Lonchura striata: one gene and its partner. The protein of the gene in region 2 purifies or fractionates together with the protein of the main gene of each other region. This does not show direct contact. Links are inferred from orthologs where the notes say so. Each region holds a gene or a part of one and is shown on either strand. Other genes may lie near its edges. The genes, in order: SIRT6 and USP10.

Region 1 (15,523 bases), on a different chromosome or scaffold from region 2:
TGACCCTCGGTGGGGCTCAGTTTTCTCCAGGTCCCTGCACAACGCCGCCGCCTCCCGCGTGGTTCACACCCAGCCCCAGGCCGGGGATGAGAAGCCCCCGGAGCCGCTGTGGTCGGAGCCGCTGCAGGAGACCCCCGAGACCCTGCACGAGGCTTTGCAGAGCACATTCCCAGCACTCCCAGACAAAGGGTCCCTCCAGAATGACACCTCGGCCACCGAGGGGCTGAGCCACGAGGACGGGGACCAGGCCGACGCTGTGCCAGGGGGTGGCTCTGCGCCACACCCGGCGCTGGCATCCCTGGCGTGGTCCGAGCCGGGGCACGGCCGGCCCGCGGTGCTGGAGCCAGCGGAGGAGCTTTAGGCAGAGCAGGAGCACGGGGGTGCCATGGGGTGACAGCACCTCATCCCTACGGGACACGCCCTCGGGGGGACCCCTCCGGGATCTGCCTCCGGATGCTGGACCTGCTTGGCTTTGCTTGGATTCTGTGAACTGGGAAGAGGAGACCGGTTCCCACTGGCCTTACTGGGAGGGAAGGGGCTGCTCCTGCCCCCCTGGCACAGTGGGAGTTGTGGAAGGGACCTGGGGTCACTCAGGATGGGGCTGAGGAAGCAGGAGGGGCCCTGGCCTGGTTGGCTGCTGATGGTGCATCTTGGCTATGGTTGGTTTTGCTCTTGGTTTTGTTTTGGTTTTAGAATTTTATTTTCATCTCTAAATATAAGATATTTTGGAAAAAATCCACCTGCTGTAGTTTAAGAGGGGGTGATCTACAAGGTTTCAAGGAGCCCTGGGCCAGGGGGACCTCAAGCCCAGCTGCCATGAGGGGCCCGGGAGAGGGGGGACACACGGCCATGCCCAACCTGGAGCTGGGGCCAGGGCACCCTCCCACAGCTCCCAGCCCCCAGTCCAACTGGGATGCAGCCAGCACCAGTCCCTTCCATGACCAAGTGACATGGAATTACAGAGTCATGGAATGGTTTGGGTTGGAAGGGACCTTAAAGCCACCCAGTGCCACCCCTGCCATGGGCAGGGACACCTTGCTGTGTCCCAGGCTGCTCCAACCTGGCCTTGGACATTTCCAGGGATCCACGGGCAGCCACAGCTGCTCTGGGAATTCCATTCCAGGGCCTCACCACCCTCACAGGGAAGAATTCCTCTATGCAAGGCCCTCCCTAGGCCCGTGGGTGCTCCGCGAGCCACAATTCAAGTATGTTTAATACTGACATAAAAAAAGGGACAATATTTAAGGGTATAAAAAAAAGTCGGTAGGAAAAGCAGCCCAGGTGAGACAGGGACAGTCCAGGTCAGGTGAGGAGAGGCTCCACCTTCATCTTCTTCACCGGCGTTGGCCCCGTGTCCGGGCTGGGACGCTCCTGCTTGAGCCCGTCACGGCGCTCCAGCGGCGCGCTCCCGGCACACGGCGCTGCCGTGCCGTTGTGCTGGCCCTGGGGCTCCTCCTTCAGCCGCCCCTGCAGCTGCTCGCCCTTGGCCAGCTCGGCGCTCTCCACCACCACCGGCCCCGTCCACTCGGGCACCTCCAGCCCCAGGTGCTTCATCAGCTTGGTCATCACCTCGTCGACGTAGCCGTGGATGCGCAGGTCGGCCTGGCGGTCCTGGACAGCAGGGACACGGCTCAGGGGACAAACGGCCCCTCCCAGGGACACGGCGATGTCCCTCATGTGTCATTCCCAAAGGGACATCAGCTGGCCCTGGGGCTCTGCTGGGGCGTGGGCTGGAGCCACACCTGGGGATGGGGACACAGGGACAGAGTGTGACGGGCACAAGGGAGCTCTGCTGATATCCCAGGAACCCCCAGCTCTGGGCATTAAAGACTTTGGACAATTGGGGCACCAACATCTGAGCAGGAACCGAGCAGGAACCGAGCGTGCCCTCCACGGGTTCCATGTGTTTGGCCCTTCCATTGGGCTGTAAACCCTGGGAGGACACAGCAGGCTCCAGGCTGAGCTTTCACTCTGCTCCTAAGACTAGCTTGGACAGGGCTTGGAGCAGCCTGGCATAGTGGAAGGTGTCCCTGCCCATGGGAGAGGGAATAAGATGAGCTTTAAGGTTCCTTCCAACCCAGCCCTTTCCATGACTCTAATATTTACCTGCCATCTCTACGTGTTTAGCAGGAGTTGCAGGTTTAAACCCTCCAACCCAGGACTCTCAGCCTGTTTGACTGCTAAGAGAGGCCACCTGGGAGGGGACAACGTGCAGGGACAAACTTGAGATGGGCCTGGAACAGGGGACAGCAGGGGAAGGGAGCAGTGCAGAGCTGCGGGACGCTCACTCACGTGTTTGGTTGCTTGGAGGTTGACGATGACCAACTTCCCTCCTCTCTTCTTGGTGATCAGTGGGAGGTTCCCGCTGGGTTTGATCTGCAGAGAGGTCCCCAGCGTGATGGAGAGATCAGCTTTCCTGCAGGGAGGAGGAGAAATCCAGAATCAGGGCATGGATGGGTGGGAAGAGGCTGTTCCCCTCCTGAGCAGGTGTCAGTACCTGCAGGCTTCATCTGCCAGCGTCAGGTCACGGTCAGGCAGGGAATCTTCCCAATCCAGAATAGTGTCTCGTAACTTCCCTCTGGAAAACACACACAGGGACCATGGTTTTCCTTGGAAAAGGCAGGAGAACAGGCAGCAGAGCTGCCCTGGCAGAGGGGACAACGACCAGAGCCTGTCCCACCCTCCCTGTCCGCACACTGTGAAGGGGTGGAGAGCACCCAGAGAGATCTTCCTGCACCTTGGGCTGCTTCTCCCACATCTGAGGGGCTGTGGGGTCACCCCCCATCCCACATCCCCGGGGGGATCCCCACCTGCAGGCCCGCAGCCCCCGGGCCTTGGTGACGCTGCAGAGGCGGCCGGTGGGCTTGAGCCCCATGCTGCCCACGACGGCGTCGCGCACGTACTGCCTGCGGAGACACGGAGCGCTCAGCGAGGGGCTGAGTGCCCAGCACGGCCTGGCATGGCCACCCCAGCTTCCCCCTGGCATGGCAACCCCAGCCCAGCTTCCCCCTGGGATGGAGATCCCAGCCCAGCTTCCCCCTGGGATGGAGATCCCACCCCAGCTTCCCCCTGGGATGGAGACCCCAGCCCAGCTTCCCTCTCAGATGGAGATCCCAGCCCGGCTTCCCCCTGGGATGGAGATCCCAGCCCAGCTTCCCCTGGGATGGAGATCCCAGCCCGGCTTCCCTCTCGGATGGAGATCCCAGCCCAGCTTCCCCCTGGGATGGAGATCCCAGCCCAGCTTCCCTCTGGGATGGAGATCCCAGCCCAGCTTCCCCCTGGGATGGAGATCCCAGCCCAGTTTCCCCCTGGGATGGAGATCCCAGCCCAGCTTCCCCCTGGGATGGAGATCCCAGCCCGGCTTCCCTCTCGGATGGAGATCCCAGCCTGGCTTCCCCTGGGATGGAGATCCCAGCCCAGCTTCTCCCTGGGATGGAGATCCCAGCCCAGCTTCCCCTGGGATGGAGATCCCAGCCCAGCTTCCCCTCGGATGGAGACCCCAGCCCAGCTTCCCCCTGGGATGGAGATCCCAGCCCGGCTTCCCTCTCGGATGGAGATCCCAGCCCAGCTTCCCCTCGGATGGAGATCCCAGCCCAGCTTCCCCTGGGATGGAGACCCCAGCCCAGCTTCCCCTGGGATGGAGATCCCACCCAAGCCCCCCCAGGGCTCACGTACTTCCCGCATTTCACGCACTCTTCCACAAACATGTTCCCATGGAGCTCGGCCAACTTGTCCCTGTGGGAGAAAGGCACAGGTGAGCTGGGGAAGGGTGGGGAGTCCTGGGGGAACCCCACCTCCTCCCCAGGAACCTCGGGGGCTTCCCTGCATTCCAGCTCTGCCAGGTGATGGGCTCATCCCCAACAGGGACTCAGGAAGGGACAGCAGGTCCCAGCCTTTTAATTTCAGTGTTTCCATCTGGTTGCAGCTCCTGACCTACTCAAATCTTTGCTCCTGGGAGCACCCAGATCTTTGTTTCTCCAGCACCCAACATTCCTGTCTGTCCCTGTGCTCTTCCAGCCCTCTGACACCTGTTTTTCCTAAAATCCCCCTCAGGCTCAGAGCAGAAGCCAGAGGAAGACGCAGCCATGCTCTCCCTATTTTCCTCAGAGCCCCACGCTCACTGGGAACTTCCTCCAGGCTGCGTGAGACAGGACTGACTTGATTTCCCCCAGTTTGGCCCCAGTTCAGCTTCCTCAAGCACAGGTTTCACTTGGGAGGCAGAGCTGGGCTGAACTGAACAGGAGCCAGTGGCTCCAGGCTGTGGGAGCACCATGGAATTCTGTGATCATTCCCTACTGCTTTTCCCATGGTTGTTTGGATTAAACAGACAAACAAGGGGCTGGGAGCAGGGCCCAGGACTTGGGGCTTGTAATGACAGGAAATGCCCTGGAGGCAGCTCTGGCTGAAGGTGTTTGTGAGAGGCACCTTCTCCAAGGACACATGGATGCTCCTCACTCACATCCTGACTCATAAAATCACAGAATGAGTTGGGTTGGAAAGGACTTTAAAAGATCAACCCCCCTGCCACGGGCAGGGACACCTCCCACTGTCCCAGGCTGCTCCAAACCCCATCCAGCCTGGCCCTGACTGCTCCCAGGGATCACAGAATATCCTGAGCTGGAAGGGATCCACAAGGATCACTGAGTTCAACCCCTGGCCCTGCACAGACACCTGCACAGGGGAATGAGATGGGCTTTAAGGTGCCCCCCAACCCAAACCATTCTGGGATTCCATAATTCCATAATCTCTGTTTTTTCTATGCACAAACAGCACCTGGAAACATTTCTAGACAGCAACATCCAAGGCTGATTTGATTCCAAGACCCTCTGGAACAGCACCAGAACCTCTCCCCTCTAAATTCCAGCTGGTTTATCCCTTTCCAGCTTCCACTCCCTGTATCAGAGAGGGCAGAGATTCCTTGGGAATGAAACCCCCCGTGTGGGGCTGGGAAGGTACCGTGGGAATCCTGACCGCACGTGCAGGCCGTCCACGTTCTGGCTGACCAGGAATTTCAGGATTCCCACTCTCTGCAGCCCCAGCAGCGCCATGTGAGTCTTGGAGGGCCTGGCATTCTCGAAGGTGGTGTCGAATTTTGGGGAGAGCCCTTTTTCTTCCATAGTCCAGACACCATTGGGACCCCTGGAAAGAGCAGGAAGGGAGAGCTCAGGCTCCAGGTGCCCCATCCATGGGAGCAGAGCTCATGGATCAGCAGGATTCTGGGGGTTGATGCAAACAATGTGGGGATTCTGTGGCAACAGCTGAGATGTGCAAGAGGGAAAATGGTGTTTGCAGCTGGATCCAGGACGGACAGCAGGAATGGGGCGGGTCTGGGATAAATCAGAGCTTTCCATGAAGGAAGATGGACCTGGAGGAGGTGCCACCCTGCCAGCCCTCGGACTTACCTGAAGTCAGGGATGCCCGAGGCCGTGCTGATCCCTGCTCCTGTGTGGAACACCACATGGGAGGAGCTCCGGATCAGCTCTGCCAGCTCCTGCACCTTCCGCTCCAGCTCCTCCGGAGGGTCAAAAATCTGGGAAAACACAAAAACCAGCATGGGATGGAGAGATGTGGGCATGGATTATATGGGGAAGGAATCCTTCCCTGTGAGGGTGGGGAAGCGCTGGAATGGATTTCCCAGAGCAGCTGTGGGTGCTCCTGGATCCCTGGGATGTCCAAGGCCAGCCTGGACAGGGCTTGGAGCAACCTGGAATAGTGGAAGGTGTCCCTGCCATGGCAGGGGTGGCACTGGATGATCCTTCAGGTCTCTTCAACCCAAACCATTCTGGGATTCCATGATTCTAGAAGCCCAGTAACCCACAATTCTTCCTTATCCATGAATGATTTTGCATTCCTTAAGGACAGAAACATTTAATAGGAGAGACTCCACGCTGCCTGGAGCATCTCGCTGCAGGGACAGGGCTGGGAACTCCCAGCACCAACAGGGAGTTTGCTGCTCTGGCTGGCAGCTGGCCCAGGCTGGGCTCCAGGAGCCACCCGGGGCCACCCCACATGTGCCCCACTGTCACCAGCAGTGCCACCAGCTCTGGGGACAGGGCAGGGCCGAGGGACAGCGAGGGACACCAGATGCTGGTTTGGGCACGGGATTTAATTCCTGAGACACTTCTCCAGCCCCATCTCTGGGGACGGGGACGAGGACAGGACCCTGTGTGTCCCTGTCCCCTCACCATCCCCTGGGCTCAGGACGGGCTGCAGTGTCCCTGTGGCTCCCCTCAAACCTCGTTTTAGGCTTCCCAAACTGCTGGGGCTCAGGGGGGACACGGAGGGAGCCAAGGGGGCTGTGGGGGCAGAAGGAAGGACCAGGGTGGGGTCAGGGAGGCCATGGAAGGGGACATGGAGAGGGGACATGGAAGGGGACATGGAGAGGGGAAATGGAGAAGGGACATGGAGAGGGGACATGGAGAGGGGAAATGGAAGGGGACATGGAAGGGGACAAGGAGAGGGGATATGGAAGGGGACACGGAGAGGAGACATGGAGAGGGGATATGGAGAAGACACATGGAAGGGGACATGGAAGGGGACATGGAGAGGGGACATGGAGAAGGGACATGGAAGGGGACATGGAGAAGGGACATGGAAGGGGACACAGAGAGGGGCCGAGGGAGCCGGGGGCGGCCTGGGGGGACATGAGGGGGACCAGGGAGCCATGGGGTGTCGGGGACAGGCACCCAGGGAAGGGGGACGGGGAGGGAGCCGCGGGATGCGCTCGGGACACACGGCGGGCTCGGTGCCCGCTGGGTTCCCGAGGCCGCGGTTGCCATGGGGACGCGGCGGGCCCGCGGGAGGCCCGGCGGGCGGGCGGGGGCTGCCCCGGGCGGGCGGGGACGGCCCCGGCGGTGCCGCGCTCACCTCGGGGAGGCCGCACTTGCCCTTGTCCGAGTACGGGGACAGCCCGGCCGCGTAGCTCACCGCCATCGGCGCGGCCGCCGCGCGGCGGAAGAGCCGGGAGGGGCCGGGCCGCGGGACCGCCCCGCGCCGCCGCCGCCATCTTGGAGCCGGGCAGGGCGGGGCCGCGGGACCGCCCTGCGCCGCCGCCGCCATCTTGGAGCCGGGCAGGGCGGGGCCGCCCCGCGCCGCCGCCGCCATCTTGGAGCCGGGCAGGGCGGGGCTGCCCTCAGCGCGGCCGGGGCCGACCGGGACTGCCCGGGACCGACCGGGACTGACCCGGGACTGACCGGGACTGACCCGGGACCGACCGGGAGTGACCGGGAGTGACCCGGGACTGACCGGGACTGACCCGGGACTGCCCTCAGCGCGGCCGGGACCGCCCGGGACCGACCGGCAGTGACCGGGAGTGACCCGGGACTGACCGGGACTGACCCGGGACCGACCGGGAGTGACCGGGAGTGACCCGGGACTGACCGGGACTGACCCGGGACCGACCGGGAGTGACCGGGACTGACCCGGGACCGCCCGGGACCGACCCGGGACCGACCGGGAGTGACCGGGAGTGACCCGGGACTGACCGGGACTGACCCGGGACCGACCGGGAGTGACCGGGACTGACCCGGGACTGACCGGGACTGACCCGGGACCGACCGGGAGTGACCGGGACTGACCCGGGACCGCCCGGGACCGACCCGGGACTGCCCTCAGCGCGGCCGGGACCGACCGGGACTGACCGGGAGTGACCCGGGACCGCCCGGGAGTGACCGGGACTGACCCGGAGTAACATGGGACTGAACCGGGACCGCCCGGGACTTGACCGGGAGTGACCGGGACTGCGGGACACTGCCCCGACATTGACCCGGGACTGACCCGGGACTGCCCGGAACTGAACCAGGAGTGACCGGGACTAAACCGGGACTGACCCGGGACCACCCGGGACTGAGCGGGAGTGACCGGGACTGAACCGGGACTGACCGGAGTGACCGGGACTGAACCGGGACTGACCCAACACTGCCCCGGGACTGCCCGGGACTGCCCTGGCACTGCCCCGACATTGCCGGACACTGCCCCACCTGCACTGAACCCCTGCCCGGGGGGACACAGGATGGGCAGGGGTGCCAGGGATGGACAAGAGGTGCCACCAAGAGCAGGGGATGCCAAGGAAGGAAGGAAGGAGGGACAGGGGGTGCTGGCAAGGGCAGGAGTGCCAGGGCAGAGCAGTGGCTACCAGGGAAGGACAGGGCGTGCTGACAAAGGCCGGGATGGCAGGGAAGGACAGGGGTGCCAGGGAGGAGCAGGGGTGCCAGGGAAGGACAGGGGTGCCAGGGAGGGACAGGGGTGCCAGGGAGGAGCAGGGGTGCCAGGGAGGAGCAGGGGTGCCAGGGAAGGACAGGGGTGCCAGGGAGGGACAGGGGTGCCAGGGAGGAGCAGGGGTGCCAGGGAAGGACAGGGGTGCCAGGGAAGGACAGGGGTGCCAGGGAGGAGCAGGGGTGCCAGGGAAGGACAGGGGTGCCAGGGAAGGACAGGGGTGCCAGGGAGGGACAGGGGTGCCAGGGAAGGACAGGGGTGCCAGGGAGGAGCAGGGGTGCCAGGGAAGGACAGGGGTGCCAGGGAGGAGCAGGGGTGCCAGGGAGGAGCAGGGGTGCCAGGGAAGGACAGGGGTGCCAGGGAAGGACAGGGGTGCCAGGGAGGAGCAGGGGTGCCAGGGAGGAGCAGGGGTGCCAGGGAAGGACAGGGGTGCCAGGGAAGGACAGGGGTGCCAGGGAGGGACAGGGGTGCCAGGGAGGAGCAGGGGTGCCAGGGAAGGACAGGGGTGCCAGGGAAGGACAGGGGTGCCAGGGAGGGACAGGGGTGCCAGGGAAGGACAGGGGTGCCAGGGAGGAGCAGGGGTGCCAGGGAAGGACAGGGGTGCCAGGGAGGAGCAGGGGTGCCAGGGAGGAGCAGGGGTGCCAGGGAAGGACAGGGGTGCCAGGGAGGAGCAGGGGATGCTGACAAGAACACGAGGTGCTGTCAGAACCAGGGGCTGCCAGGGTGGGGAAGGGGATGTCAGGTCAGGACAAGAGGTGCCACCAAGGGCGGGGGGTGTTTGGGATGGGCAAGGGGTGCCAACCATCAGAGCCCAGCCCTCCCCAGCACCCCAGGCCGTGTCCCTTGTCCCCAAACACGGCCCGGCCCGGCCCCCCCCCGCCTGCCCGGGGCTGTAACCGCAGCCGCGGCCGTAATACAATCCCCGGCTCCGGTTCCCGGCTGCGGGCGCTGCGCTGGGAACGCCAGGACGGGCTGGGAGCAGCGGGACCGGGGGCGCTGAGCTGTCCCCAGGCAGGGACAGACCCTCCTGGAGCGTGGCCATCCCTCCCGAGCAGCTGCCACGGGGCTGAGGCTGAGCCACCATGAAGAGCCTGAAGGCCAAGTTCAAGAAGGCAGATGTGAGTGCCATCCCTGGGGACATGGGGACACGGTGACCTGCTGCAGGGTGTCTGTGGGGACACGGGGATCTGCTCCAGGGTGTCTGTGGGGACACGGTGACCTGCTCCAGGGTGTTTGTGGGGACACGGGGACCTGCCCTGGGACACGGAGTGGTCGCTCACAACGGGGACAGCAGTCCTACAGAAGTTGGCACTGCCACTCTGGCTGGTGGGATCAAGCCCCCAGTGCACCCCCTGTGCTCCCAGAGCCATCGCTGGGAGTGGGGCAGAGCAAAGGAGAGGGAAGCAGATCCCAGGTCCCCTCCCTGTCCCCCTCCTGGGGACAAGTGCCACTTTGCCAGCTGCCACAGCCCGTGGAACCAGCCTGTCGATGCTCCTCAATTATTCAGCAGCAGCCTGGCATGGGGCCGCAGAGGGCAGAGGGGGACAGCGCTGTCCCCAGTGCACTGGGAGGGACACAGCAGGGGACATGGGGACACAGCTTGAAGCCCCTCACCCGGAGTCTGTGGGACCATCCTGCTCGGGGCGCTCCATGCCTCAGTTTCCCCACACTGCCCTGGACACGTCCCTGAAAGGCTCCCGATGTCCTGCTGCCAGCGGGACTGCCCGGACAGCGTCTGGGGACCCTCTGCGTTTCGGGGTTCCTCCCTGGAGGTGTTTGGGGGGTCCCAGGTCCCCCCATCGGGGGCCGGGAGGATGCTCAGGATGCTCAGCCCTGCCTGGGAGCCGCTCCGAGGCGGGATGCAGGGATGCAGGGATGCAGGGATGCGCTGAGGAGGGAGGGAAGGAGGGAGGGCCGGGGGCGGAGGAGGCGGGTCCGGCTCCCACTGCCGCAGCCCCGGCCCCCGCCCGGGCGGCGATGCCGGAGCGCTCCGGGCTCGGGGGTGCCCGTGCCGGCCGGGGCGGGGAGCGGGGGGCGCATGGCGTCCTCCCGCCGCCTCCTGCTCAGCACCATGAAGCAGATCTGCCTTTGTGCCGCCGCCTCCTTCGCGGTACGTCCCGCTCCCCTCCCGGCTCCCCTCTGCTCGCGTCCCGCGGGCTGAGCCGTGTCCCCCCCGCCCCACCTGCACCCCACATCCCCATCCCCATCCCGGGGCTCCCCGTGTCCTCCCCATCCTGCTTTGTCCTTGCCTGGCCAGGGAGTGGGGGGAGCGGGCACCACCCTCCCAGTTTGCCAGGAGCCCTGGGAGACTGGTTTGCTCCCTGTGCCTGGTCCCACCGGGCTGGAGGGGCTCGGGGGCACCCGGCGGGCACAGGCGGGTTTGGGACAGGTGCCAGCGGCTCCCGAAAGGTGACATCCATTTCCTGCCACCGCGAGCGCAGCCAGCGCCGCTTTGTCGTCACGGGCTGTGGGGTGAACCCGGGACTTGCAGTCCCTGTCCTGGTCCTGTCCCACTGCGGGTCCTCCTTCGGGACAGGGAGCACCGGGAGAGCAAATCCCAGCCAGCTGCGGTCCTGTTTTGGGGGGCACAGCGCTGTGCCCCGTTATCCCGGGAGGCTGGGGCATCCCTGGGGATCTGCTCTCGCTGCCAGCTGTGCTCGCCCTGGTTTGATCCCTTCCTCCTCCGGGAGCAAAGCAGGGCTGGGAATGGGACTCCCATGGGTTCTGACTGGGTTTAGTACTGGGATTTCAGGGTGGCAGGGGCAAACCCCTGTACAGTTGGGCTCAGTCCCAAATCCCAGCCTGGCACAGCTAAACTGGGCTGTGTCTGTAAATCCCCCACTCTGTGAGCTGCAAACTGGGGGACTGGAGGGGATTTTCATCCCAATCCCTGCTGAACTCTCCGTACCTGGGAGTGAGCTCGGAGGAGAGGGGGACAGACACGGCCACCCCCAGGGACAGGGCTGGAAGGGGCACAACAGGGCTGGGGACAAGGAGAGCCAGCCCAGCCCAGCCCTGGGGACAGCACTGTCACAGCTGACACTGTCACAGCCTCCTCTGGGCCCTGTTGCAGAGCCAGGACTGGACCAAGAACGACGAGAAGCTGCTGCAGGCCGTGGACTACAACGATGCCGGGCGGGTCACGTCGCTCCTGCTCCGCAAGGGCCTGGTGCCCACCAAGCTGGACGCGGAGGGCAAATCCGCGTGCGTGCCAGGCCCTGCCCTGGGGACACGGCTGGGGACAGGGGACATCCTCTGAGTCCCTCAGCCCCTGGTCTCGCTGTAGGTTCCACCTGGCCGCCACGCGGGGCAATGTGGACTGCCTGGAAGCAATGCTGGCCCACGGCGTGGATGCCATGACCAAGGACAGCTCGGGTGAGGGCATGGCCACCATGTGCCCCTGCCTAATGCCATGGGCCACACAGGGCCACTGGTCATCCCCAGGTGTTGAGGATGAGGGGACAGAGGTGGTGGCCACACCTGGGGGGCTGTAAATTGTCCCAGTTTCCTAAAGGAGCTCTATTATTGCTTCATGAGCTCCTGGGGTCGTTCCCTTCCTGTTCAGCCCCATTCCAGCAGATCCTGCTTTGTGCCTGTCTCTCTCTGTCCCTAAGCTGTCCCCTCTGGCACAGCCCTGCTGGCCATGCTCTGACCTGTTTGTCCCTTCCCAGGTTACACTGCCCTGCACTTGGCCTCCAAGCACGGCCACCCTCAGTGTGTCAGCAAACTGCTGCAGGTACAGGGAGAGGGAGGAGGGACAGAGGGAGGGAGGGAGGTGCTGTGCCAGCACGGTGTCCTCCCTGTCCTTGAACCCCCTTCCCTCACCAGTGCCAAGGCATGGTGGTTCCCAGCTCTGTGCTGCTGCCTGGCACCAGGGAGCCACAGGGGTCTGTCCCTTGTCCTTCAGCACAGCGTGGAGCCAGAGGGGGTTGGTCTGTCTGTCCCTCTCCTTCACCACACCACAGAGTCTCTCAGTCCTTCATTGTGCCACAGAGCCACTCGAGCAGTCTGTCCCTCTGTCCCCCTCCTCCCGTGACCCAGGCTCTCCCCGCAGGCCTCCTGCCCCGTGGACGTGGCCGATGGCAGTGGCCGGACCGCGCTGCACCTGGCGGGTGAGTAGGGACAGTGCCAGCCCTGTCCTGCTCACGTCCCCGTAGGGGCAGCGCTCAGCCTCTGTCCTTGTCTGCAGCTGCCAGCGGCTGCATCTCCTGCTCCGAGATCCTCTGTGACTTCAAGGCTCCCTTGAACAGCAAGGACAAGGTGGGGTCACACTACTCCTGGTCCTGCTGTGCCAGGCTGGGGCTGTCCCAAAACACAGCACCGCTTGGGGTGGGATGTGGAAATTGGGGTGGGACGTGAAAATTGAGGTGGGACGTGAAAATTGGTGTGATATCGGGAGGATCTGAGTCTCCTCTGCTCATCCTTCCCCCTGCCATGCCCAGGACGGCTCCACGCCGCTGATCCTGGCTGCCAAGATGAGCCACTCGGAGCTGTGCCGGTACCTGCTGCACCGCGGGGCCGCCGTCAACTGCCGGGACCTGCAGGGCAGGTGGGGCAGCAGGGCCGGGGCCCGGCGGCGGCCGCAGGGATGGTTCCCTCCTCACCCACGCTCTCCCCGTGCCCAGGACAGCGCTGATGCTGGCCTGCGAGAGCGGCAGCGTGGACACCGTGGAGGTGCTGGTCAGCGCCGGTGCCCGCGTGGCCGTGGTGGACGCCACCGGCCACGACGCCGCTCACTACGGGCTGGCCACAGGCAACGTCCTCATCCAGCACCTCCTGCAAGAGGCGGCCCAGCGCCGCTCCTGGGCCAGCGGTGAGGCTGCCGGGCCGCCCCGGGCTCCCTGCCACCGTCGGACAGGGCTGGCAGAGGCTGCGGGGATGTGTCCCCTTTTCCTGGGTGTTTGGGGCTGCCTTTGCCTGTGCTGTCCCCAGCCTCTGCTCTGAGCTCTGAGCCTCTAAATCTCCCCAATTTCTCTTCGCTCTGCTCCACAGAAGAGGACTCAGCTGAGCAGACGTCGCAGGTGAGGGGCTGGTGCCCATCCCTGGAGGGTCCCCTGGCTCAGGAAGGAGGGAGGGCACTGTGGGTGTGACGTCCCCTCTGCCCTGGGGTGTCCGCAGACATCTTCGCCCAGCCAGTCATCTGTCAGGGAGAAGAGCAGCACCCCGAGGAAGAGGAAGGCCCCTCTGCCTCCCCTGGGCACCCCCAGCCAGGTGAGAAACAGGTCCCCAGGTCCCCACCTGGCCTGAGTAGCCCAAAACACTCCTCGATGAAGGATCCCCTCATTGGGGGTTGGTGCCAAAAAGCCCCCTCGGGCACACAGTGGGATTTTTGGGGTTTCCTGTGCCAGGAGTTGGACTCGATGCTTTCCGTGATTCCCTGCAGGAGGACCGGGACGCCTACGAGGAGATCGTGCGGCTGCGGCAGGAGAGAGCCCAGTTCCTGCAGAAGATCCGGGGCTTGGAGCAGCAGGAGAAGCAGAGACGGGAGGTACCAGCTGCAGGGTCCTGGGGAGCAGAGGGGACAGGGGAGATGGGGACAGCACTCACCCCTCCCTCTTTTCTCCTTGGGTCCCGCCAGCGGGCAGAGCTGGATGAGGCATCCCTGCGTTCCATGGAGAAGCAGGTGAGGCCTCAGCTCTCCGCGGGGTCCTGGTGCTGGGAATGCCACCAGGACTCTGCCAGGAGCCAAGGGGACCCTATTCCCATACCCTGCCCTGCAGATCCGGGAGCTGGAGGAGCGGCTGGTGGCACGGGATGGGGAGAAGGAGAAGCTGGGCAAGGAAGTGGAGGCTCTGCGGAGCCGCCTGTCCTCGATGGAGGTGGGTGTGGGCAGGACACAGCTGGCAGTGCCCAGGGCTGGGCACAGGGGCATCACCTCCACCCTGCACCCCCAGAATGAGAAGGAGAACACGAGCTATGACATTGAGACGCTGCAGGACGAGGAGGGAGAGCCGCTTGAGTTCCCAGGTAGGTCTTGCCAGCCTCCCAATAACACCTCGGGGAGGTGACACTGGGCAGTGGGGGCACAGGTGGGCACCGCCCCATGTCCCTGTGCCCTGCAGGAGCGGAGATGCTGCTCTCCAAGAAGACACTGAGCCCCTCGGCCGAGGAGCTGCTGGCCACTCTCCAGGGGCAGGTGCAGTCCCTGACCGTGCAGAACAAGGAGCTGAGAGAGAAAATCCAGGCATGTCCCCCTCTGTCCATCCGTCTGTCCCTCCATTCCCTGTCCCCTGGCCCACGGTGGCCTCACGGTCTCTCGGCAGGTGCTGGAGAACTACGAGCGGGACGAGAGCAGCCCCCCTGCCCCGGGGGACGTGGTGCCCGCCAGCCTGTACCAGGCCCTGCAGCGGGAGCTGGAGCGGCTGCGGGCGCAGGGCAGGGAGGCCACGGCTCGGGCCGGAGGGGACGGGCAGCGCGCGGCCTCGGAGCCCATCCCAGAGGGAACCGCGGGGCCGCGTCCCGCCGAGGAGCCGGCCTGGGCCTGGGGCGAGTGCAAGGCAGCACTGGGCGAGCTGGGGGTGCAGACATCCTCCTCCTCCTCACCCTCGGGCGAGCGGGAGCCGGGCGCAGAGCTGGCGGAGGCACGGGCGGCCCTGAAGCGGGCGCAGACCGAGCTGGAGGAGCGGGAACGGCGACTGAAGGAGCTGCAGGCCCAGCTGCAGGCTGCGGAGGCTGCGGCCTCACCAGGAGCCTCTGCGGAGGAGGCGTCGAGGGACAAGGAAGCACTGCTGGAGCGCTGCGGGCGCGCCGAGGCCGAGGCCGAGGCGCTGCGGCGGGAGCTGGAGGCCAGGCCGAGAGCTGCGGACGCGGCGCGGCAGCGGGCGGAGGCCGAGGCGCAGCTGGCAGAGCTGGCAGAGCTGCGGGCCGCGCTGGCGCGCAGGGAGGCCGAGCTGGGCGCGCTGCGGGAGCGGCTGCGGCAGCACGAGAAGGAGGCCCCGGCGTGGCTGCAGCGGGCGCAGGCCGAGGGCTGGGTGCCCCGGGACGAGCACGCCCGCGCCACGGCGGCACTGCAGGAGCAGGCGCGGGGCCTGCGGGAGCGCCTGGCGCAGCTGGAGGCCGCGGCCGACGCCAAGGCCCGCGAGGCCGCCCGGCTGCAGGCAGAGCTGGCGGCGGCCGTGCCGCGGGCGCAGCACGAGGCGGCCGAGGCCGGGCTGCGGGCGGAGGCGGCGGCGCTGGCGCAGCGGCTGCAGGAGCTGGAGCGGCGGCACGAGAAGACGTGCGAGGAGGTGTTCCGCGTGCAGCGGCAGGCGCTGTTCATGAAGAGCGAGCGGCAGGCGGCCGAGGACAGGCTGGGCGCCACGCAGAAGCA
Region 2 (15,857 bases):
GATGCATTAAAAAGTGATTGTCATACCTTAGTGCTCTGTAGCAACCAGCTATGGAAAGGGTGATTTAAAAGTGGTTGTCAGGCTGTGCACTCTGCAGTGCAGGGTGAGGCCCTGGGAGTGAGAGGAGTTACTGGGTAACCGCCAGGTCATGGATTCTCCTGGCTTTAGTTACTGTTTATTTGCTTCTTTAGCACAGTCCTTGCTGCATGCTTGTGTGCCTTGTTCAAACCCCTGAGGACTGCTCGTGTTTGCCTGCCCCAGGTTTACCTACGGCCACGCTGGCACTGTCTACAAGGAATTCGTGTACATTTCGGGAGGCCATGACTACCAGATCGGCCCCTACAGAAAGAACCTGCTGTGCTACGATTACCGCACGGACGTGTGGGAGGAGAAGAGGCCCATGATCACTGCCAGGGGCTGGCACAGCATGTGCACCCTGCAGGACAACATCTACTCCATCGGCGGCAGCGACGACAACATCGAGACCATGGCTCGGTTTGACATCCTCAGCGTGGAGTCCTACAGCCCCCAGTGCAACCAGTGGACCAGAGTGGCCCCTCTGCTGCAAGCCAACAGCGAGTCGGGGGTGGCAGTTTGGGAAGGCAAGATTTACATCCTCGGAGGCTACAGCTGGGAGGAGGCTGTCTTCTCCAAAACGGTCCAGGTCTACGATAAGGAGAAAAATAAGTGGTACAAAGGGACGGACTTGCCCAAAGCGATTGCCGGAGTGTCCGCGTGTGTCTGCGCCCTGAAACCCAAAACAGAGGACAAAAAGAAAAAGATAAAAACAAAAAAACATCCAGATCGAGGAAGATGACCACTCCTGGATAGCCACCCTTGGATGGTGGGTTCCGAAGGGACCTTGTGTTTAGACATTTCTATCTAACCTTTATTCTTTTTCTTTTTAAACAGGGTGGGGAGGGCATCTTTTGAAGCCTAAGAAAATGTACACTTGAATGTGGTTTTTGGATTAAACTCATGTTTAAGGTAAAAACAACAAAAGAAACCAAAAACTCCCCCTCTTGCTATACAAAGGGTGATGTGGCCAGAGAGGTTCTGCTGCTCTCCTGAATGTTAAGGTTTAGGCTTCTCCTTCTGTGGTTCATGGCATTTCCACATACATCGTATTATATCGACGTTTTAAGGAAGTTTTTAAAAGCAACTTTTATACTTTTTTATACCACATTTTGCTAACTCACTCTCTCGTTTGCCATATATCACGTTGTTGACTATAGAAGCTGCTGCTCTGTGCTCGTGACCCCGCTGTTGGCGTCAGGAACTCCTCGTTGGATGATCTTTGGTGCCTGTGTGGCTTGGCCAGGCTGTGGTGCAGCTGTGGGAGCAGCACAGGCATTCCCAGCATTGTCAGGCCGTCAGCTGGAATTGGGACTATTGTCACAACTCCAGCTCCCCCAGAGCCCAGCTCGCCAGCCATGCCCATAAACACCCTTTATTTCAGTGGCTGCTGATCTGCTGGGTGGATTTCAAGGGCTTGGGTTTAAGGTTCAGCTGTTGATCATCGCTGTTATTTTTCCCTCAGTCTTCCTCTCCCATCTCCCTTTCCATGTATTTCAGATTTGCCTCTTCTTCCATCTGGTGTACGTGCAGGTGATATCCTGCTACCCTTATTCTTTTGTCTTATTTTCCCCCCTTCAAACAACTTACCTCAGTAATTGGAAAACACTAAGAAAACATTTTTGCACTTAATTTCATTTGAAACTCTAAGACCTACTACAAGCATATGTGGATCAAAAGACGTAACAATAAATTTCTGGAGTGCAAGGAGGTTATAGGTTGTTTCTTCAGTGCTAAGAAAACTAGCTGGAATTAATTTTCTGAAACTCTTTGAGGGTTTTTTTTGGCGATTTTTTTTAATTTAAAAAAAAAGCCTCAGGAGTCAGCCTTTCATTTGCATTAATGGATTTATTTTAAAGCCTTTGTATACTGCATGAGGTAATGGTTATTCTTTTTTAGCCTAAAAATAAATTTAAAACAAAACCAAAAAAAACCCAAATGAAACATTTTGGTTATGACAAACTCATAGACAAGTTTTTGGGTTTATTTTTTTTGGCATCTGAAATCCTTGCTATGTTGACTGACAATTACTTAACTTTTTGGGTACATTTTCATGTGTTCGTATGGAACAAAAATTTCAAAGACTTGCTTTTTTTCTGTTACTGGGTTGCTTGTTAACTATATCCCCTCTTTTAGCGTGTTTATGTATTACATTAATGTCTGGGAACAATAAATCCAGTTTAGAATATTCTATTCATCACAGTTTGATGTCTTGTGTATTGATTTCACTGAGGTTTTCCTTTTTGATTAATTGAAAAAAAAACTAACCCTGTAATAATTTTTCAGTGAAATTCATAATGGTGGAAACACTTTAGTAGGAAGGTAATTTTAACAATATTAAATAGAAATAGAACTTATTTAGATAATTCATGTTTTCTACCTTTTTCTCCTCCACAGAATCAGAAGAGACAAGGGGGAATTGCTCCCCACTGCCAGAGGGCAGGGTTAGATGGGATATTGGGAAGAAATTCTCCCCTGGGAGGGTGGGCAGGCCCTGGCACAGGTGCCCAGAGCAGCTGGGGCTGCCCCTGGATCCCTGGAAGTGCCCAAGGCCAGGCTGGACATTGGGGTTTGGAGCAGCCTGGGATAGTGGAAGGTGTCCCTGCCCATGGCAGGGGGTGAAACAAGATGAGTTTTGAGGTCCCTTCAAGCCAAACCATTCTGTGATTCTATGAAATTCCTTTTCACGTTTTTGCAGGTCTGACAAAAGATCCAGTCCAGTTTGTAGGGTGCTTTCAATGACAGTATTTAATGGAGTGTAGATAAACAATCTACAATTTCTTAACGTTGAACTTCATTGCATGAACAAAAGGCAGCTTCAGTGCTCATCAAAGCAAGCCTTGTTTCCCCTGGTGTGTGTGTTGGGGAAAATACCAAAGCCAGAGGCTCTGAGCGAGCGTGGGACATGTCCTGTGTCATTAGAGGTCATTGGGAGATGTACCTGTTGTTGCCAGAATTATTTTTCCATTATTGAAGGAACAAGTGATCCCCATTTGCATCTCCAAGCCCATGGCAGGGAGCACTTCTAAAGGCACAGTATGGCAGAGTGCCCCTGGATTTGGGATGTTGTGGATCCAGATGTGGCTGATGACCCCTATATTTAGGCTGTTCTGGATCCAAATGTGGCTGATCACCCCTTGGGAAGTGTCAGCAGACAGCACAGGGAGCTTGGAGATCACCCACGCTTCCCAGGGCTGCATAACTTTGGGGAATTGGTGTGCTGGGATTTCTGAAAAATGAAAGGGAGGATTTGTGTGATGCTAGTGGATTTTTTGCTGATTTTTGAGGTCTGAACAGTCCTCTTGGGGAGGAATTGCCAAAGGTGTATTCTCTTACTTCAGCCTGGCTCTTGAACCTGCACATCCCACTGCCTTCATCCCTAAGCCCTGTGAAGCATTTTACTCTTGCCAGGAAGCACAGCTCTTTCTTCTTGCCCCAGGGAAAAATAACTGGTGCTTTACCTCATTTTTAAAAATGTTTCCATTGCCAAATTCTGAGGAAAGCTCGTTTTACCTGAAACAAAGCAGCTACCAAAACCCTCAGGTTTGCTCTTCCCACACTTCCATGCCCGTATCGTGGCATTGGCACATCAAGGAGCTGCTCCTGTAACTCTGACATTAGGGAACAAATCCCTCGAGGTACCCTGAGGAAAAATCACAGCCTACTGTGAGATGCAGTTGTTTTGAAGGGCTGAGAAAGAAGATGGAAATATTTTTGTTCTCAAGTCGAAATTTTAAATTGAGAAAAATGTTCTGGTGTCTTTCTGTGTAAAAGATCTGAGTGCTTTCTGTGGTTTCTTCAAGGACTGCTGATTTTCTGGGCGCTGTTCAGGATTCCAGATTCTTGCATGACAGCAAAAAAAGGGGTTGTGTGTCTAGGGAATGTAAAGAAATAATTTCACCTTCAGTACTCTTTCTGAGAGCAATTTAACTTGCAGAAAACAAGCCCAGATTTGAATTGTGATTCTTCCCTTGCTGGTATGTCTTACAGAAGCTCTGACCAGTAAGACAAAATAAAAGCTGGCGTGACAGGTTTTAAATATTATTTTGTTTCAGCTTCTTGAGCTATTTCAGTTCTCATGAATGTAATAATGAGCGAGATGCTAATTATTCCTTCATGAACTTATGGCTCTGGGGTGTCTCAGGGATCAGGTCAGGGCAGATGGAGAGATTTTGTCACCACGCTGTGAGAGTCAGAGCACAGCTCAGCCACTCACAGCTTCCTCCTCCATCCTGGTAACTGCACACAGGGAGGACACAGCCCAGTCATGGGGTTGTTGGTGCTACACACATTTCTTAGTTCCTCCTGGAACTTGGAATGGCTTTGGGAAAAAATATACCTTTGTTCTATGGTGATGGGTTTGGTGACAAAACACAAGGGGAAGGTGAGATGGAGACTTGCTGGTTCTTTTGATGCTACAGAACTGACAGAGATGATTGAATGAGAAGAGGGAAGACTTATATTTAAGATAAGGATGAATAAGTCACAATTAATTAGCCAGAAGTTCTGCATAGATAATTGAAACACTGAGTCAAGCAGCCACATGATCTACTGAAGGCTTGTCCATTCTTCAAATGTGTTTCTGCTTGAACTAGTCCATGCTTAAGCTTTTTTACATCAGCAAATCTTTTACAATTGTTCAACAAATTTAGGAATGTGGAATTTGAAGTCAGGTTTGCATTAACCCATTTTTTTGGAACTAAATAGCTGCAGTTTGTGTCCTGTGCTACCTGTCTAAAGTCTTCCACCTGCAGAACCATTCCTGCCTTTCTGCTCTCAGGTTCCCTTTGCCCACTCCCAGTGCCTGCTGCTGGCCTGGGGCATTTAGGGCTCAGAAAGTTAAAAAAATATTACCAAGGTTGATAATTCTACAATCTCCCGTGCTGACCTAGAGCTGGCTGGTTCTCTACTGAAAATGTAAATATCCTATTTTAAAGATGAGCCAACTGACACTCCCTGAGATCCAGCCAGGGCTTGCAAATGCTTTATGTAGGCAAAGCCCTTATTGGACTTAGAAATTGCTGGGATAAAAGTTCTGCATCTCTGAAAAAAAAAAAGTCCTGGGAGCTCCTGAAGTTCTTGGCACCAGGAGGAAGTTCTACAAGGGCAGTACTAAACCTCCTGAAGTATTCCCTCTGTCCCTGAAAAAGCGGGTGCGAGGGTCCTGAGGGCTCCAGCTCCCCAAAAGTCATCCTGAGAAGTGCTCAGAATACATGTGTACACATCTGGCACTGTCACGAGCACGGATCTCATGACCTTGTGAAGTCCCAAGGAGTCCCCAGCGCTTTGCATTCCCAGCAGGATAAGAGCAATTACAGCAGGACCTGGAGCCAGATACCCTGGGAGTGGTTTATCCTTTATTTCCACAGCCACGGACCTCATTTGGTTTTGATAAATCCACACGTTGGTAAGAACATTGCTCCACGAATCTTAAGAATGTGTATATGCAGAAAGAAAAAATATGACACTGGTTATTTTTTTTAATTTGGAAAAGCAGCTTGTTGATTTGGAGGGATAATTCACAGCCACTGGCATAAAGGATGTAAGAAAATACAACTGGTTTATGCAATGAAAGCAGTAATGAAATAACAGGTTACTAAAACCAGCAAAAATTAATAAAATAGAACCGAGGTGAAACTTTGCAGCAGGTAAGTTTCATCAAAGCACTGTATTACAAAAACAAACAAACAAACAAAAAAACCAAACCCTTAGATTATTAGGAAATATTGCGGTTAAATGTTAACAGATATATAACTAAACTATACTAAGATGGGATAAAATTGAACATGTTTAAAATGTTGCTGAATGAGACAGTGATATCCTTTCTCAGTTTTCACCCTCAGCTCTGGGCTTTAGCAGTTTTGGTATTTGAACTCTCTGCTTTCCAGGCTGAAGACACTGTGTTCATTTGTATTTTGAAACAGTCAGTTTACTTAGGCAGCATTGTGGGCAGAAGGGAATTTTGCCTTCAACCAGATGAGCCACGTAAGGGTTTTCATTCCATTATTTACCTTGTAAATTAGACTCCCGAGGGGAGAGGGGCTTTCAGACGTTTGAACTGCTGTATGCAAAAAGCCTGAACATTTGTCTCCCTTTTTTGTTTCTCCCTTTTAATATTAACCAGCCATTTTTACTGCTGCTTCTCTGCCTCAGGACAGCACAGCAACACTTGCGAGAGACAAAAGCGAGGGAGCGGCAGCTGGGTGTGTCAGCTGGGAGGGTAAAGGCTGATAGAGAAAATCATTTATTGTCATTAGCACACGGCAAGTGTTGCTCTTCACAAAACAGGAGGGACGTGTCCTTGTCGTGGAGACGGGGAGGAATCTTCTTCCCACTTTCCGTGAACAGCCAAAGACACAGAGTTCTTGTGTGCTCTTCCTTTTCTTCTATTTAACTTTCTCACCGATTTAAAGTTGTCTCTATCACTCGCTGCCCAGCCGAATTAGACTTTTGCAGGACTTGGTAGTTTGTGTAAGGGAAAAAAATATGGACTAAATTAGCGATTAATTTGATGGATTCTTGCCTGGGGGTTTCAGTATTGTTATGACTCAATCCGCTCAAAATCATGAGATTGGCTTAGTCATTGCTAATTTTTTTTTTTTTTTCCTCTCCTAGATACAAACTCTGAACCCATTCCCATCCTGGTTATTTGGGACAGAGATGGGACAGCTTCGCTCTGGCATCATCTGGGCACACAGCTTTGCTTGGAACTTGCCAGATTGACCCTCAGCATCTGTAAAAGCCTGAAATCTGGACAGGTGAAATCTGGACGTTAGGAGGAATTTATTCACAGAAAGGGTGATTAAACATTGGAATGGACTGTCCAGGCTGGTGGTGGAATCACCATCCCTGGAGGTGTCCAAGGAATGCCTGGATGTGGCACTCGGTGCTCTGGGCTGGCTGACAAGGGATTGGTCACAGGGTGGACTAGGTGGTCTTGGAAGGCTTTCCCAACTTAATCAAGGAGTCATGTAATTAATTCTTTGGGTTGGAAAGGAGCTCTGGAGATCACCCAGCCCTGGACCTTGCCAAGGTAAGGACACCCGGAGCAGGTGACACCGGAACTTGGCCAGGTGTGCTCGGAATGTTTCCCTCAAAGAGACTCCAGGCCCTCCTTGGGCAGCTATTCCAGAGCTCTGCCACCTTACGTGAACAGAAATTCCCTCTCATGTTGAGCTGAAACTTCTTTATGGTTTATTTTATGGCCACTGCTGCTTGTCCTGTTGTTGAGCACCAGCCTGGCACAGGCGCCCAGAGCAGCCGTGGCCGCCCTGCATCCCTGGCAGTGCCCAAGCCAGGCCGGACAGCGCTTGGAGCGACCTGCGATAGCAAAAAGCGTCTCTGCCCATGGCAGGGGGCGGAACTGGATCGTCTTTAAGCTCCCTCCCAACCCAACCCATCCCATGATTCTGCGATCCTTTTGGCACCCGCCCTGCCGATATTTCTTCACACGCACTAACGAGATCCCCCTCTCAGCCTCCTCTTCCCCAGGCTAAACCCTCCCCGCTCCCTCACCCTCCCACAGGGGCGATGCCGGGCGCGGCGTTGCGGGGACGCTCTCGGGGCTCCCCGCCCGCCTTCCCGCCCCGCTCCCCTCAGGGGGGCGGAGCCGCCTCCCGCCCTTTTCCCTGGGCGCCCTCAGCTCCCGCCCCGTGCGCGCGCAGCGGGCGGGCGGGGACGGCGCATGCGCGGTGCGGCGCGCGCCCGCCCGCCCGGCCCGGCTGGTGCGTGCGAGGGAGAAGATGGCGGCGGCGGGGGCGGCGGCGTGAGGGGCCGGGACCGCCGAGCTCCCCGGGGACGCGGGGCGCCATGGCCCTGCACGGCGCTCAGGTACCGCCCGGGCCCGCGGGCAGCCCTGCGCCACCGCGCCCGGACCCCGCCGGGCTCCCGGCGGCGGGCGGGCCCCGGGATGTTGGAGGAGGAGGGGGGGGGAGCGTGGTGGCCGGGAGTAGGCCCAGGGTGATTGTGCACGTTCATTGAATGTGCCGAGGGCGGTGGGGCGGCCTCGCTGCCCGCGGGGGTGGCGGATCCGGCGCTCCCGGGGCGGAATTCCCATCCCGGAGGGGTCCGGAGTGCGGGGGGCCGGCCCCGCTCCGGTGTCGGTGTCGCCACGCCGGGGCCCGGGGCGGGGGTGTCGGTGCTGAGCCCCCGCCCGAGGGCGGCTCGGACAGAGCGCATCGCTCCGGCTGCGCTTTTTAATTTTTTGGAGTGGGGGGAGAGGCAGAAACGTTTCTATAACGAGAAGGGAATAAGGAGATTTGTAAACTAATCCTCCCCCCTCCCCCCCGCCCAAACACTCGATAAACCCCGGCGCATCGGGGTGCAAAGGGCTGAGTGTTGCAAGATCGCCGTGCACGGGGATGCGTGTGCGGATTCCATGGATCCCACTGGCTGAACCAGCCCGGAGATTTGTGCACCGAGTGGAAAAAAAACTGCAGTAGTGGTGGTTTTTCGCTGGAACTTTACAGCTGGGTTCCTGGGCTAATCCAGTGTGTGCTTAGAGCGAATTATTGAATGGGTTCGCTTCTCTGTTTCCCTTAAGGTTTTTCTCCCAAAGAGATTGGAAGCAGGAATGTCAGGAAAAGCGTGTGGAGCTCTGGAGTGTTTTATTTGCAAGGACTTTGAGCAACTTTTTTGTTTAGCAAATAATAAAGTTTAGAAAACTGTGGTGGTGTTAAACATAATTTTGTTAAGGATCCGTGTCTTCTGTCATAGGAAGCACGTTTCATAAAATGTAAGTAATTTCGAACAGGGTGATGCTTTATTGTAAGTTCTGTAGGTTTCAGGGTTTTTTCCTCCATGAAGTTAAGTTACACATCAAATAAAGACGTGAACTGGTGGCACTGGCATTTCCATTTTAAAAAGTTTGTAATTGGTGAAAACTATACCGACATTTCTTGTCCAGCTTGATTTATTTATGTTTGAGGGCAAAACGTGAGTGCCTTTGTTAATGTGGGTGTTCTTAAGGCAGCTGCAGTGTCTGGAGTTTGTTTCAAAATTAAGACTAATTTTAAAAATTTGCGTCCTTCTAGTTTTATTTCAAAGTAAGGGAAACTCACTTACTTTTGGACCTTTTTTATTGTCCCAATGAATGATTTTTGAATGCAGATACCTCAGGAGGATTCAGTGTCCGACTCAAGAGTTGTTTCACTGCCTGCTTTCTCCCCCCTCAGCCATACATGTGGTCAGTTTGATAACTTTGGGGTTTAAAATGCAGCTATTTTCATGATTCAGCGGAGTTAAGGACGTGTCTTGGTCTGTACATAATTTTGCTGGTGTACTTGAAAACAAGAAAACTTAGGCTGATGATTTAGTTTATGGTGAAATGCTCCATAGCTGAAATTTAAACTGGGCTGTAAATTCATCTTTAGTAGCAACTTGAGCATAGACTATTTTAAATCATCCCCCTCTGTAGGTAAAGGTGAATATTAGGCCTCGTGTGGTTGCTGCTGAACTTACATTATTTGTATTAGATAGTATAAAATGTGGAACATATATATTGTGGAAGCACATTTGTAAGATACTGTTTAGCTAATACTTTGTTCATATTACTGGTTTTGGGTTTTTTTATCCATTTTAACCAGTTTATTGAGATGATGTCTGGGATTTATTTGAGTACATCTTCCAGAACAGTGCTGTGATGCTGAATTAAGGTAACAATGTTTTGCAGCCTTTGGGATGAAAAGCCTGAAGATAATAAGTTCAGGGATGCAGTTTCACATGTAGATGTTTCCTTTTTGTTTTAGGATGGTAGTATTGCAGATGAGTAGAAAAAGTAAGAAAGTTTTGATAAAACTTGCCTGTTCTGAGTACAAGATAAATAAGATTATTGAGTCATTATGTTCATGTCATGATGCAGAAGTAGACAGAAGTGTTTTCTTCTTCCATATCTCTAATTTGGGTGTACCATCATTGAGGCATTTTTTGTCACACAGGGGAAAAAACATCTTCAAGAAAATCCCGCTGCTCCTCCAGCTAAAATGCAGAGTCAGATTTCTGCCAATGGATGGATTCATGGAATAGTGGGCAGAAATATTTCATCAGTCAGTTTGCACATTGTGACAAATGACTCCTGAAACCCCATCATATTGAATATTTCCATTGATTTTGGGTGGCCAGCTCAGCAGGCGCAGAAGCGTTTGATAGCACAGTTCAGATATTGCTGGTCTTTGTGCCTCTATTCCATGTCACTATTTCATAATCATCTCATGAGGTTTAAGTGTTGCTGTCGGTCTGCTGGGTGTGTGCTGACTGTACTCACAGTCTGTCCTTTTTTAAGGTGAGCTACAAGTAAACCTGCTGTGTATTGCTCCATGACACTAAAGATGCTAAGCTGATCTAGTTAAAACCACTTGTCATCAAGGGCATCTAAAAATCTCTTGAAAAAATAAAAAAGGACAACTTAAAAACTATTTCTCTGTAAAGAATAAAACTCTGTAGGAACTGTATAAACAGTTGTTTCAGCCACTTTTTCTATTGTTTTTCATAGAAAGAATTAATACAGGCGCATCATTTGTAAATCCTGTGAAAACAAGTTAAGCAGAAGAAAGGATACCATAGCAGAATGAATCATTTATGCTTGTTTTGCTCTCCCACCATTACTGTGGTGTCAAATGAACTCGGTGCCATTTTAAATGTACCACGTTGGCCCCAAACCCGGCTGAAGTGAAAACCAGGCGAGTTTGAGCTGAGAAAAAAAAAGCTGAAACAGCTCCTAAGCTGCTCATCCTCACCCAGGTTGTGTCTGGCCTGGCAACCAGAAGAACTGGAACTCAGAACATGGCATGCAACCTGACTCCCTGAAACACTGCACTGCAAACTGCTTCTTTTATGGCCGGCTTGGAGGGCTGCTCCCTGGCAGGGTGCAGTTTGATGTTTTCTTAAGCCAGGACTCTTTCTAGAAGACAAAAAAAAAAAAAGAAAAATAAAAAAAAGCAGCAGCCTGCAGGCATTTGTGCTGTGCTGTCTTTGCAGTGTCTTGCCTGATGTTTGTGGTGATTAGGAAATCGATGTCGTGAAAATAATGTCCAAAAAATGTTTGTTATGCAGCTGGATGAGTTTCTTGTGTACAGATGTGTAACGTTGGAGTGTCCTCACGGGCAGAAAGAAATGTTTGGGGATGGGGCAATTGGATTGTGTCAGGTTTGTGAAATCCACTGAAGATGTGGGGGACACCCTGAACACAAAATAAAAGGTGGCCGTGGGAAAGAGCTGCTGGGAGTGGAATTGGAGGGAGGTGTGTGAGTGCCCCATCTTGCTGCAGCTGCTCAGTTGCTGTTGTCTTTTAAAGGTCTGAATAAGCTGAATTTGGCTTTTTTTCATTGCTCAGAAGGGTCTGGGCTCATCTTTTACCCATGGAGTGAGCAGTTATTCCAGGCTTCTGTGATCTTGGGAATTGGGGCTGCAGCTGAAACCGGGAGTTTCGGTAGCCAGAAGGGATCATTTGCCTTTCTAAAATGTGAATGGTGAATCCACACAGAGTAAAGTGGGTGAATGTGGGTTGGTTGACTTAAAAAAAGGAAGTCTGGGAAAACTGACATAGAACTTAAATTTGGAACTATATGGCAGCATGCAAATAGGCTAAAACCCACAGGTTTTGTGAATCACTGCTATTTATTCTGTGTATTCTAGACTATAGCACTGATCTGGAGACTTCTTAGAATGGATCCAGCCATTTACCTATTAATAAATCCAGTTTCTGTAGGCAGTTGCTCAGACATACTGGTCTTTCCATTCATGTAGCTGTTAAAATACTTGTAAAGTTAAGTGGGGTTTTGTTTGTAGGTAAACTGAGCAGTCTCATTTCTTAGTGATCGACACACAACGTGCTGTGTTGTACAAAACTGCCAGATCTGTTAGAATAGAAGTTGCTGGCCTTGGGCCACTGGATTATAGTCATTTGTCACTCTAATGCCATTTCAGCAATGTAGATGTTCATTTCCAAAGAATTAAACATGCTGGAACTGCGGTTTTTCTTTTTGATGGAAGTGTTTTATGTGTGATCATTAAACATACAACTGGGGATTAGGGAACAAAGGGTAATGCTTCATGGTGAAAAAAGTGTGTGTGTGTGTACATGTGTGTGTGTTTGTATATTCAGACATTCCATAATAGAATAGTCTGATATTTTAAAATTGAGGTTCTGAAACCTATTTTTGTTTTATGAAATTGTGCCATAGGTATTTAAGACTGTGTTTTAAGTATTTCCAATAATGGGACTGTGTTGGTTATTTTTAAAACACTTAAAAGGATTCTGTTTTGTTAGTGCTCATGTTAATATATTCATTAATGCTTTAATAGAGTAAAACTTTGAAGTCTTTTCATTTTGTATTTGACTCTGTAATACCTAATTTATTTCCAGATATTCCTGATATTTTAAATATGTGTAAGAACTTTTCCTCCTTGTTTGGCAGCATATGATCTATTGATCTTCAGTGTGTGCTACAAGGTCTGTTTTTCTTCACCAGTAGTGTGCAGGAGGAAGATTAAATCACAGTAGCCTTAACAAAATGTTTGTGTAAGGCTTCTTTGAATCGTACACCTTGTGGAAAAAAACATCTGTTCTTCAAATCAAGAAAGGCTTGTTGAGATTCTGTGGTAGCCACCAATGTCAGTGCCGTAGGAAAGAAATGTACCAGGAGCACTTTGGGGAATTTGCTGCTTGTAGTATTAAATGTGAATTCACATCATGGATAGAAGCTTTAAAAGAAGCACCGTGTATTATTTGCATTGGAATTATAGTAGGAAAGAAAGGGATATAGATGGGCTGCCATCGATGGTAATGTTAACACAAACTGGAAAACCACTTAAGGGATCTGAAATTTTTTTGCTTTGTTAAAAAAGTAAATACCCCAAGTGAGGCTCTGCTTTGAGGTGGAAGAGAAAACTGCACAATCTGTAAGAAGCTGTAAAGAAGAGCTTGTCTCTAAAGGTTGTGTGAAAAATGCATTTAAAAAAACATGCAAGAAAGTAGGTTTTCTTCAAAGAATTTTGTGTATGAAAGACTTCTTATTTTGTTTGAAATCCACTGGGCAGACCAGCAGAAATAGTTGAGCTATTCCCTCAGTGCACTGGGCATATTTTTTCATACAACGTTTAGAGCCTGCTCAAGTGATTCACATATTTCCTGCCTCATTTTTCCCCCTGAATGTTGCACACTGACAATGCATTTGCCACTGTAACTCAAAAATACAGAAGTCGTGTATCATCCATACAAATAAGTGAAAGCTTCTGGTCCAAAAATGTTTTGTCTTGATGGAGTGGGATGTCTTTGCAGGTAATAGAACAACCTGTTCAGATAGGTAAGATACTGATAATCCCTTGAATTCTTGGTGTAAGCTTTAGGCTGGATGGAGAGGGAAGTGACAAAAGTTCAGTTAATTTGTTTAATGGTAGAGGCAGGCAATTAGATTAGTTGTATTCAAATAATGGCTTTGGACTATGTTACTTAGGGAGGATATTCAGTTCAAAAGGAGGCTGGTATATAGTGTGGAATGGCCTTGTCATTTTAAATGTGAGTAGATAGGGTAAAAAGGAGAGGGAAGTCAAGCAGAAAGGAAAAGAGTCATTGTCAGCACAGGTAACAGCTGAATTGCAAAAAGAATCGAGTTCTCTTGAGTTCCAGTCTACTTAGTCTAGCCATTAAATCTTATGGGTTCTAATAATAGCTAGCTGACCAAAGAAAGAAAGAAATAGCACTCTGATGTCCTTACAGCATGGAAAACCTCACTTTCTGTTCTGCTGCTGCCTTTGGGATACAAATCCAAAACCACAACAGTTTGAAAATGCCTGTGGAGCACTGTCGTTAATTGATAGAAAGTTGGAAAAAAGTCAAAGACAACTTATTGAGGCAATTTCCACTTATTTAGGCAGTACTCACTTTCTTCTCAGTTAAGGGCTGTGACCATAGACCATTGCTGTTAAGAAGTTTAGGCTTCCACATTTCATCACACATGGTGAGAACTCCCTAATAGAACTTGAAACAACAACAACAAAAAAAGAGTTTATGCAGTTAGTGTGCTTTCAGAGCAGACAAAAACGAGATACATAAAATTGTCATCCTGGCATTGCAAGCAACAGAAAATGTAAGTGCAGCAGAGTCAGAAGCGTGAAAGAGGATCAGTCAGCTTTCAGAGCAGAAGAAATAAAACTGTTGAATTTGTTCCTGTCAACAGGTTCATGGTCTCAGTCTCTTGAACTTCACCGTAGTCCAGACATAGTTCTGGGCTGTGGTGGTCACCGGGCTGTGGTGGTCACTCTTGTTGCTGTGAGTCCAGGTGGCAGATGCTGCCGTGGTGTTCCAGGTGTTGCCAGAGCTGTTTCCTCAACTGGAGAGGATAAAGGCAGTGGATGTGTATTACACTTGACACTAATGATTGTCACATTAAGGCTGATACGATTTTCTGATTTGATCCAATCACATCATTGAAATAGAGATTTCTCCAAGTTATCATTGGCGTTGAGCCCTGCAGAGTGGTGTGGTAGGGCAGCTGTGCACATTTTTCCCCTTTGCTTTGTGCTGCTGGCAGTGGTGGGTGCCAGGGGCTCGGAGGGGTCCCTCCTGCCCAGCAGCAGTGCTCCAGTGGGGCTGAGCTGTGGAGCCTGTGTTTTCATGGTAGTGTGACTTCATAATTGGTCTGAATTCCTCCTGGATTTTTATGGTTAGGAAAGAGATGAGCTAAGAGTTAAGGTGGTTTTTAGCCATTTGGTATTCAAACCATACCAAAGCGTGTGTGCTCTAAATTTATTTATTTTGTGACAGCTTGAAAAAAACCACTTGTAATTAGTGAACAACTGCTTATTGGCGGGTCTGAGTGTCTAGCACATCCAGTGTGTTTACTGAGTAGCCAGTAATATTTGTTAATGACAGACATCTCTAATGTGAAATTTAAATCAGTTTGTATTTTCTAGTTCAGTTTGTGTTTTCTGCCTTACTTGCAAAACAACCATTTTGAACAGTTGTGCAATTCATTGCTTTACTGAATGTCATTATGATTTGCAAGATCTCTTAATTAGATTTGGGACCAAAGGAGGAAGTGAACAGACCCATGGGGAGCATGTTCTTCCAAAAACCACCAAAGTTGGTGTTGTTCGGAAGTGGAAAGTCTCACAGGTTCAGAGTGTGCAGAAGAGTGTGAGGGTTGAGGGTGTGGTCTCATCATTGTTGCTCAACCTTGTCTGCATTGTGGGCCAGATGACAATTTGGTGGTACTTCAGTGGGGTCTCCAAAGCCACGGATGGGTGAGGGAGAGGAGACACGGGGTGCTGGAGTTGCAGACGAGCTGGTGGAGCTGTGGGTGAGAGCAGGGACACTGCAGACAGAGCTGCTCCTGCCTCTGGCCCTGCACTGAGGCAGCTGAAGAGCCAGAGCAGAGCTGCCTGTGCTCCTGCTGGTGTCGATATTCCCGTTCCGAGCTGCTCATCCAAGGAGGTGGTGACTCAACTCCTGCCTGCCTGGAGGGTACACGAGCTGGGGGTGTGCTCTGCTCTCTGAGCACCGGGGGCTTCAGCAGTTTGTCAGAATATTCTGGTTTGATTGCTTTTTTACCTTCAGAAAGCAAAAGAATTTCAGTATCTTTGAGACTCTAAATGTGTTGGGAAGTATCTGGAGTGCTGTTTTGTGCATTCTGTTCATTCATATGTGCAAAAGAACTCTGAATGCTGACAGAAGATGTTGTACAAGGAAAGACATAAAGTAGCAGCATTATCAGTGGTAGTCTTTTGGAATGAGCTTAACTTTGACAATTTTAAGATTTTTTTTTCTTGCTGTATACCTACTGCCA

What was found.
Region 1: the proteins of USP10 (region 2) and SIRT6 purify together in Homo sapiens (affinity purification with western blotting; 4 studies listed by BioGRID, with this or other methods). This does not show direct contact. The link is inferred for Lonchura striata from reciprocal best matches to the Homo sapiens genes USP10 and SIRT6.

What each region holds. Positions count from the first base shown.
Region 1 is NC_134630.1:6,744,004-6,759,526, reverse strand, and holds SIRT6 (NAD-dependent protein deacylase sirtuin-6), read right to left. Parts: upstream 6,965-15,523; 5' UTR 6,934-6,964; coding exon 6,868-6,933; intron 5,531-6,867; coding exon 5,403-5,530; intron 5,140-5,402; coding exon 4,957-5,139; intron 3,736-4,956; coding exon 3,676-3,735; intron 2,907-3,675; coding exon 2,811-2,906; intron 2,579-2,810; coding exon 2,498-2,578; intron 2,417-2,497; coding exon 2,293-2,416; intron 1,612-2,292; coding exon 1,303-1,611; 3' UTR 1,196-1,302; downstream 1-1,195. Other genes in the region: CREB3L3 (cyclic AMP-responsive element-binding protein 3-like protein 3), read left to right, coding at 21-361; ANKRD24 (ankyrin repeat domain-containing protein 24), read left to right, coding at 10,253-10,324, 11,288-11,418, 11,501-11,589, 11,886-11,950, 12,269-12,326, 12,404-12,474, 12,657-12,763, 12,840-13,027 and 8 more. UniProt on the Homo sapiens protein: NAD-dependent protein deacetylase, deacylase and mono-ADP-ribosyltransferase that plays an essential role in DNA damage repair, telomere maintenance, metabolic homeostasis, inflammation, tumorigenesis and aging.
Region 2 is NC_134615.1:20,636,778-20,652,634, forward strand, and holds the start of USP10 (ubiquitin carboxyl-terminal hydrolase 10), read left to right. Parts: upstream 1-7,786; 5' UTR 7,787-7,884; coding exon 7,885-7,905; intron 7,906-15,857. Other genes in the region: KLHL36 (kelch-like protein 36), read left to right, coding at 262-817. UniProt on the Homo sapiens protein: Hydrolase that can remove conjugated ubiquitin from target proteins such as p53/TP53, RPS2/us5, RPS3/us3, RPS10/eS10, BECN1, SNX3 and CFTR.